Oryctolagus cuniculus: one gene and its partner. The protein of the gene in region 1 interacts with the protein of each later gene in a pairwise test. Links are inferred from orthologs where the notes say so. Each region holds a gene or a part of one and is shown on either strand. Other genes may lie near its edges.

Evidence for each region. The genes of interacting proteins can lie anywhere in the genome.
Region 2: the proteins of TRIM63 (region 1) and TNNT1 interact in a two-hybrid assay, tested with the Homo sapiens proteins (2 studies listed by BioGRID and IntAct). The link is inferred for Oryctolagus cuniculus from reciprocal best matches to the Homo sapiens genes TRIM63 and TNNT1.

The regions. Positions count from the first base shown.
Region 1 is NC_091438.1:145,360,165-145,364,211, reverse strand, and holds the start of TRIM63 (E3 ubiquitin-protein ligase TRIM63), read right to left. Parts: upstream 2,811-4,047; 5' UTR 2,662-2,810; coding exon 2,503-2,661; intron 1,778-2,502; coding exon 1,605-1,777; intron 1-1,604. UniProt on the Homo sapiens protein: E3 ubiquitin ligase. Mediates the ubiquitination and subsequent proteasomal degradation of CKM, GMEB1 and HIBADH.
Region 2 is NC_091449.1:3,709,460-3,712,505, reverse strand, and holds part of TNNT1 (troponin T, slow skeletal muscle), read right to left. Parts: intron 2,684-3,046; coding exon 2,657-2,683; coding exon of another isoform or gene 2,589-2,656; intron 2,445-2,588; coding exon 2,412-2,444; coding exon of another isoform or gene 2,395-2,411; intron 1,662-2,394; coding exon 1,640-1,661; intron 1,268-1,639; coding exon of another isoform or gene 1,196-1,267; coding exon 1,135-1,195; intron 368-1,134; coding exon 251-367; intron 150-250; coding exon 72-149; intron 1-71. UniProt on the Homo sapiens protein: Troponin T is the tropomyosin-binding subunit of troponin, the thin filament regulatory complex which confers calcium-sensitivity to striated muscle actomyosin ATPase activity.

The sequences.
Region 1 (4,047 bases):
GGCCAGACTTGTCTTCTTGCATCTTGCCGCCCAGGGCCTGCATGCTGGTAGGGGTCTCCCGGCCCTGGGAGAGGAGCCCTGGGGCCAGCAGTGGTGCACAGAGACAAGCTGTGACCCCTGACCCTTGGGTGCCCATCCTTCCCTCTGGCTTCCGTCCAGACCGTTGGAGCAAGTTGCTTGGCTCCTCTGGGTTTGGTTTCCTCCGACAGGAGGAAGAATTGCCGAAGCTCTCTGCGGGAACAGGAAGTGCCCAGCACAGAGCAGAGCCCCAGGAAAGCGCAGCGGCTGTGACGCTCCTCCCCTTGGAGAGGCCTCAGGGGCTCCGACACAGCGCGCTCAGCGGAGGTGCTCCCCGAGGGGGCTGGTATTCCCATGCAATACAGATTGGACTACTTTTATAGCGACCCACAGCCCGTGTGCATCCTGTAGCCACAATCTAGACCAGCGGTGAGGAATATGCACCAGGCACAGGCACTGAGCCCGGCATTCGGGACACCTGCTCCCCCTAGCTGAGTTCTCAGGTGGATCCTCGGCTCCAGCTCCTGACGCGGGCTCCTACGATGCAGACCCGGGAAGCTGTGCTGATGACTCAAGTAATTGGGCTCCTGCCACCCACGTAGGAGACCCAGATTAAGTTCTGGGCTCCCAGATTCAGCTCCAACTCAGCCCCCGCTGGGCATTTCACGCATGAACCAGCAGATGGGAATGTGTTCTCTCTCTCTCTCTCAAATAAATACATTATTTTTAAAACGAAAAAAGCACATTCACCATGGAGTCAGTCACACCTTCTCTCTTCTAGCTGTGTGGCCTTGGGAAAATCTCCGACCCTCTCTGAGCCTCCGTTTCCTTATAGGAAAATGGAGCTGCGAATGCCTCACAGAGTGACTGAGACAGGAAGTACTCCGGACAGTGCCTGAGCACAGCGTGTGCTCAGGGAGCACTTGACTGTGTCACATTGCCCATCGGTGTCCTAGCCCACAGTCACAGCCACGCTTCGGCCACTTAATGCATTAACAACGGGGCAGAGCGGCCATCACAGGCCCCAGGCCAGGGCTCTTCCTCCGCGGGCATGGTTGGCAGCACCTCTGGGCAGGCCACTGCCTGCTGCCACGTGCTTGGTGGAGGTTTTAGACCAAAAAGGCTGTGAGGTCAGCAGCTGGGAGTGGTGTCAGGATGTCCTCATTTGTACCGCTCTCCCGGCAGCGGCTGTGTCTCCAGCCGGCCCCACCACTCACAGATGCTGCCTCTCTTATTAACAGGGAGACTCAGCACCCGATGGGCCAGGCTCAGCCCCAGCTCGCCCCCTTCTCGGCTGGGAAGCCTTGAGTCACTGACTTGGCTTCTTGGGGATTACAGAAGTCCCTCCCGGTCTACAGGGTGGCTGCGAGGCAGGCAGAGCCTCCCCAGGGCTGGCAAGGGAGACAATGTAGCCATCGCTGCAGCTCCTGGCTATGTTGTCACTGGGCACTCTCCCTGCCCAGCCGGCCACCTCACAGGTCCCAGGCCTGTCCCTCCCTCTCGCTTCCCATCTCCCCCGGCAGTGCAGCCCGAGGGGTCCCTAGTGGCGGGTTCTGGGGGCAGGGTCTCGGGGCCGGCGAGCTGACCTGGAGCACTCTTGCTTGTAGATGTCAATGATGTTCTCCACCAGCAGGTTCCTCTGCAGCCCGTACACGCCGTGCCGGTCCATGACCACCTCGTGGCGGCAGGACGGGCAGCGGAAACGGCCGCCGGACATGGACACCGTGCCGCTCCGGTTGGTCCAGTAAGGATTTGCGGCCTGCGGTGGCCAAGGTAGAGGTGAGGCCAGTGCTCCCTCCTCAGCCCCTTCCCTCTTGAGTCTCTCCCGCTCTTGAGGTGAGAACAGACCCCTGCCCGGAGAGCCCCCGAGCAGTCAGCAGGCCTGGCTTCCGTCTCTGCCTGACCCTGGGCAGTGACTTTCTCTCTCAAAACCTCAGTTTGCCCACTCAAGAAATGGGTGCTATAATTAGGGCAAAGGTGAAGCAGTGAAGTGGCATTGGAGACGGTGCTCCTGGGGACCGCTGGGTCCTGCCTGCCTGCCAGACCTCCCTAGAGCCCCTCCGGCTCCCACCTTGAAGAGGACAGCCTCGGTGGGGGGGCCCTCTAGGCCTCGTGCCTGCCCGTCCCCCTCCTCCCACAGCTCCGGGCCCCCTGCCACTGTGGCGCTGGCCGGGCCCCAGGGGTCTGGTTTCTCTCCCCTCTCTGCCTGCCTCCCCCTTATCACTTGAGGCATTTGACTCTCAGTCCTCAGCGGGCCCAGGGCAGGCGGGGGAGCTGTGGACAGGCTGGGAGGGACACATGCGTCATGGAGAGGCAGCGGGGCCGCCAGAGCCACCGCCCCAGCCCCAGCCCAGGCCAGAGGCCTCCACAGGGGATCACTCGGAAGCGGAAAGAATCAGCTCGCATTGCAGGGCCTTCGGCTAAGAGCAAAGGGCCGCCGAGTTGCCGCCCAGGGACCCAGGAGCGGCCATGGCCAGCACCGACCTGGAAGATGTCGTTGGCACACTTGCGGCAGAGGTTGTGCTGACACGGCAGGATGACCACCGGCTTGGTGAACATCTCCAGGCAGATGGGACAGATCAGCTGCTTCTCCAGGTTCTCCATGGGGCTGCCATCCTGGATCAGGCCCGACTTGTAATCCATAACGTTGGGGTGGCTGCCTCCTCCACCTGCTGGCTCCGGAGACCTGTGCCTTTGTCACAAACACCCGCTCGGAATCTCTCGGCCTTCTTCTCCCCGCGTCTGAATTCTGTCCGGGACTGGGGCCCCTCTGGTATTTATAGCTGGGTCTCGGTCACATGAGCCCGGGAGGGGACCAGCTGAGCATTCCGATGCCAAGTGCGCGGTGGGGCTTGAGTTTCTTCCAAGCCTGGGAGACGCGGCCCTCTCAGATCACACGCAAGCCTGAGCAATCGCTGTTCCCCGGGCATAGGGGGTCGAAAACAAGAACAACCTGTTCGGAGGCAGCCTGGCGGGGGCATGGGTACCCAGAGTTCCCTCCAGAAACTGGGTCCCCCTAGCTAGGCTGCTGGGCCAGGGATGGGATCCAGGGAGGGGACCTCGGGGATTCAGGGGTTCATAGTCACTGTCCCCCTCATTAACGTAAATCAGTGCCTGCCACTCCCCTGGAGTCCTGGGCAGCTCTCAAGATAAGGGACAGGGCCGCCCCTCTCTGAGCCTCGCACCTGAGCCCAGCGTCTCATGTAGACAGGGGAGGCCCCACCCGGGGTGTCTGTCTCCCTCTCTTGGCCACTTATTCCCCTTAACGCTGAAAGGGCTCCCTTGAGTCCAGTCCCCTCATTCTATAGAGTTTGAAATGAGTCCCAGCAAAGAGAAGACTTTACACTTCCTAGCAGCAAAGCCAGGAACCTTATCCACACACCAGACATTCTTCAGTGCAGCAGGGACCAAGGTGACAGGCAGAGGAGCGGTCTCCTGCCCTGGGATGTGCACAGCCCAGGAAGGAGCAGAGGGGAGCAGCTCTTATGGAAACCCCGCCTGGACGCTCAGCACTGGCCGGAAGGCTCCCCTGGGTCTCGGCACACATTTTCAATTTTACTCCACTTTAAAAAAGCTTTACTTATTATTTTTAAAGATTTATTTCTTTTATTTGAAAGACAGAGTTACAGAGAGGCAGAGTCATAGAGAGAGGTCTTCCATCTGCTGGTTCACTCCCCAGTTGGCTGCAACAGCCGGAGCTGTGCCAATCTGAAGCCAGGAGCCAGGAGCTTCCTTCCGGTCTCCCACGTGGGTGCAGGGTCCCAAGGACTTGGGCCATCTTCTACTGCTTTCCCAGGTCATAGCAGTGAGCTGGATAGGAAGTGGAGCAGCCCGGTGCCATGGCTCACTTGGTTAATCCTCCGCCTGTGGCGCCGGCATCCCACATGGGCGCCGGGTTCTAGTCCTGGTTGCTCCTCTTCCAGTCCAGCTCTCTGCTGTGGCCCGGGAAGGCAGTGGAGGATGGCCCAAGTGCTTGGGCACCTGCACCCGCGTGGGAAACCAGGAAGAAGCACCTGGCTCCTGGCTTTG
Region 2 (3,046 bases), on another chromosome or scaffold:
AGCCCATGCTGAACGCGGGGCGGCGCGGGGCGGGGCACGGACGCGGGGCGGGGGGGCGGGGGGACACGCACCGCCAGCTTGGCCTGCCGCTCCCGCTCCTTCTCGGTTCGGAAGCGCTGCTGCTCGGCTCTCTCGGCCCGGCGCCGCTCCTGGAGGAGGGGGAGGCTGAGGGGCGTGGGGGCGGGGGCGAGGCGGCCCCACACTCACTCCGGGCCGCACTCGCAGTGCCCCGCACCCCGCCCGCACTCACGATGCGCTCCTTCAGCGCCACCAGCTCCTCCTCCTCCTTCTTGCGCTGCTCGAAGTGCACGTCGATGAGCGTCTGCAGCTCCAGCAGGTCTTTCTCCATGCGCTTGCGGTGGATGTCCTGCGGCGGGACGGACGGCCTGGGGCGGGGCCGGGACCCCGCGAGGCGCGCGGCCCCCCAGGGCGGAGGGCGGGACCCAGGACCCCCTCGCGGCGCGGCCCCCCAGGGCGGAGGGCGGGGACCCAGGACCCCCTCGCGGCGCGGCCCTCCAGGGCGGAGAGCATGGACCCAGGACCCCCCTCGCAGCGGGCCTCCTCCAGGGCGGAGGGCGGGACCCAGGACCCCCTCGTGGCACGGCCCTCCAGGGCGGAGGGTGGGACCCAGGACCCCCTCGCGGCGCGCCCCCCCTGGGCGGAGCAGGGACCCAGGACCCCCTCGCGGCGCGGCCCTCCAGGGCGAGGCCAGGACCCCGGCGGGGCGCCCCTCCAGGGCGGGACCCAGGACCCCCTCGCGGCGCGCCCCCCCAGGGCGGGGCCGGGACTCCGCGAGGCGCCCCTCCAGGGCAGGGACCCAGGACCCCCTCGCGGCGCGGCCTTCCAGGGCGGAGGGCAGGGACCCAGGAACCCCTGGCGGCGCGGCCCCCCAGGGCGGGACCCAGGACCCCCTCGCGGCGCGGCCCCCCAGGGCGGGGCCAGGACCCCCTCGCGGCGCGGCCCCCCAGGGCGGGACCCAGGACCCCCTCGCGGCGCGCCCCCCCAGGGCGGGGCCAGGGCCCCCTCGCGGCGCGGCCCCCCAGGGCGGGACCCAGGACCCCCTCGCGGCGCGCCCCCCAGGGCGGGACCCAGGACCCCCTCGCGGCGCGGCCCCCCAGGGCAGCGGCTACTCACATCGAAGTCCACGCGCTCGCCTTCCGGGATCTTGGGCGGCATCAGCGGGGGCACCACGGGCCTGCTGAGCGCATGCACCGTGCTGTACACGGGGCGTGAGCGCGCCACGCCGCGCGCGTCCGCGCCCAGGCCCCTTACAGGACAAGCCTCGCCCCCAGGCAGCCGCCCCTGCCCCGACAGGCTGCATACGCGCACTCGCCCTCAGGCCCGCCCGCGCACCGGGGCCGTCTGCCTCTCCCAGCCTGGACATCAGAGTCCCCCACTGTCCTGGTGCTAGCAGACCTGCACACAGGGGAGGCTCTCTGCAGGGCTCGGGCAACCCCTCCCCCAGGACGCCTTCCGAGATGCCCAGGGCCAAGGCAGGGGCCATCACAGGGCAGGGCACGGGGCCAGCCCGGCCCAGCAGGTCTCCCTCTCTGCCTGCCCCGCGGCCCACCACCCACCAGTGGAGCAGCAGGGAGGGCTTAGCAGGAGGTGATGGGGCCCCCGCCCGCTGGGGTCTCACCTGGGCTTGGGGCGCTCCTCTTCTGCGGTGGTGGAGATAGAAAGAGACAGTTAGTGAGCGCTCTGGGGAGGGGGCCCGGCCTGGGTTACCCTGGGGGGAGGGGACGTCCCCGGAGCCCAGGGCAGGGCCTGGCGTCCAGTTCTGGGGGAGGGGTGTGGGGAGCAGGGAAGTGGGGTGGCCGCGAAGGGGGAGGAGGCTCACACGCATCACATATACATTCAGAACCCGAGTGGGGGCGCCCCCGCCCCCAAGCTTTCTGAGAACCCGACCCCTCCCCCAGGCCCGCCGCACTTACAAGCCCATAGCTGCAGTCTTCCCTCATCAGAACCCAACACGCAGGGAGCCCAGTCCCGACCCCCCCCCCCCCCGAGTTCTGTCCGCGTCCCCGCCGCAGTGGGGCCCCCCACTGCCAGTTCTGACAACTCTAAACTCCGGGTCCCAAGCTTTGAATGTATATGGGGGGAGGAAGATTGACAGGGGCAGGGGAGACGAGGGGCTCTCTGCAAACATCCAACCCTTCTTTAAATGTTCCCCCAGGGCGGGGAAAAGAAGGTTTGGGTGTCGGTCCCTTTAAGAAGGAAGGGAAAGGGTTAAAGGCGCTGCGAGGCCATTTCCCTTCACTGCCGCCAGAGGGCGCGAGGCTCTCTGGGGCTTAAAGGACCGCGCTGGGGCGGGTTGCGGCGGGAGTGGGGAGGGGAGGGGGCGTCACCAAGGAGGTCAGGGTCCCCCGGCCCCCGAAATCGGGCTCGGGAAGCGAAGCAGCCGCGGTTACCTGGCTCTGCCACCGGCTCCGGCTCCTCGGGGGCTGGGGAGGGGGCGGGAGGAGAAGCCAGGGTTTGGGGCAGCAGGGAGGGGAGCGGCCAGGCGGGGGGGGGGGGGGGGGGGGGGAGGCGGGAGAGAGGGGAGGGGGAGAGACGGCAGAGGCTGTTAGAGGAACTGGAGCCCAGGCGCCCCGGGCGCCCCCCTCCGCCCCGGGCCCGCGAGCAGCTCCAGCCCTGCGGGGGGCCGGGGTCTCACCTTCCTCCTCCTCTGCAGCCTCCTCCTCTGGAAGCGGGTGGGGCGCAGGAGAGAGGGCGTTAGGGGGTCGTGGGCAGGGGCAGCCCGAGCCCTGGGACGCCCCTCCCCCCACGGCCGCAGCTGCTAGGGCGCGGGGATCCCCCACCGCCCCGGCACCCCGGAGTTGCCGCAGTCCTCAGCCCGCCATTGGCCAGGGTGGGCGATGGCCGGGGTGGGCGATGGGTGGGTTAGGCCCATGGCTGGGGTGGGCGATGGGTGGGGTGGCCCGTTGGCCAGGGTGGGCGATGGGAGGGATAGGCCGATGGCCAGGGTGGGCGATGGGTGGGGTAGGCCCATGGCCGAGGTGGGCGATGGGTGGGGTGGCCCGTTGGCTGGGGTGGCCCGTTGGCC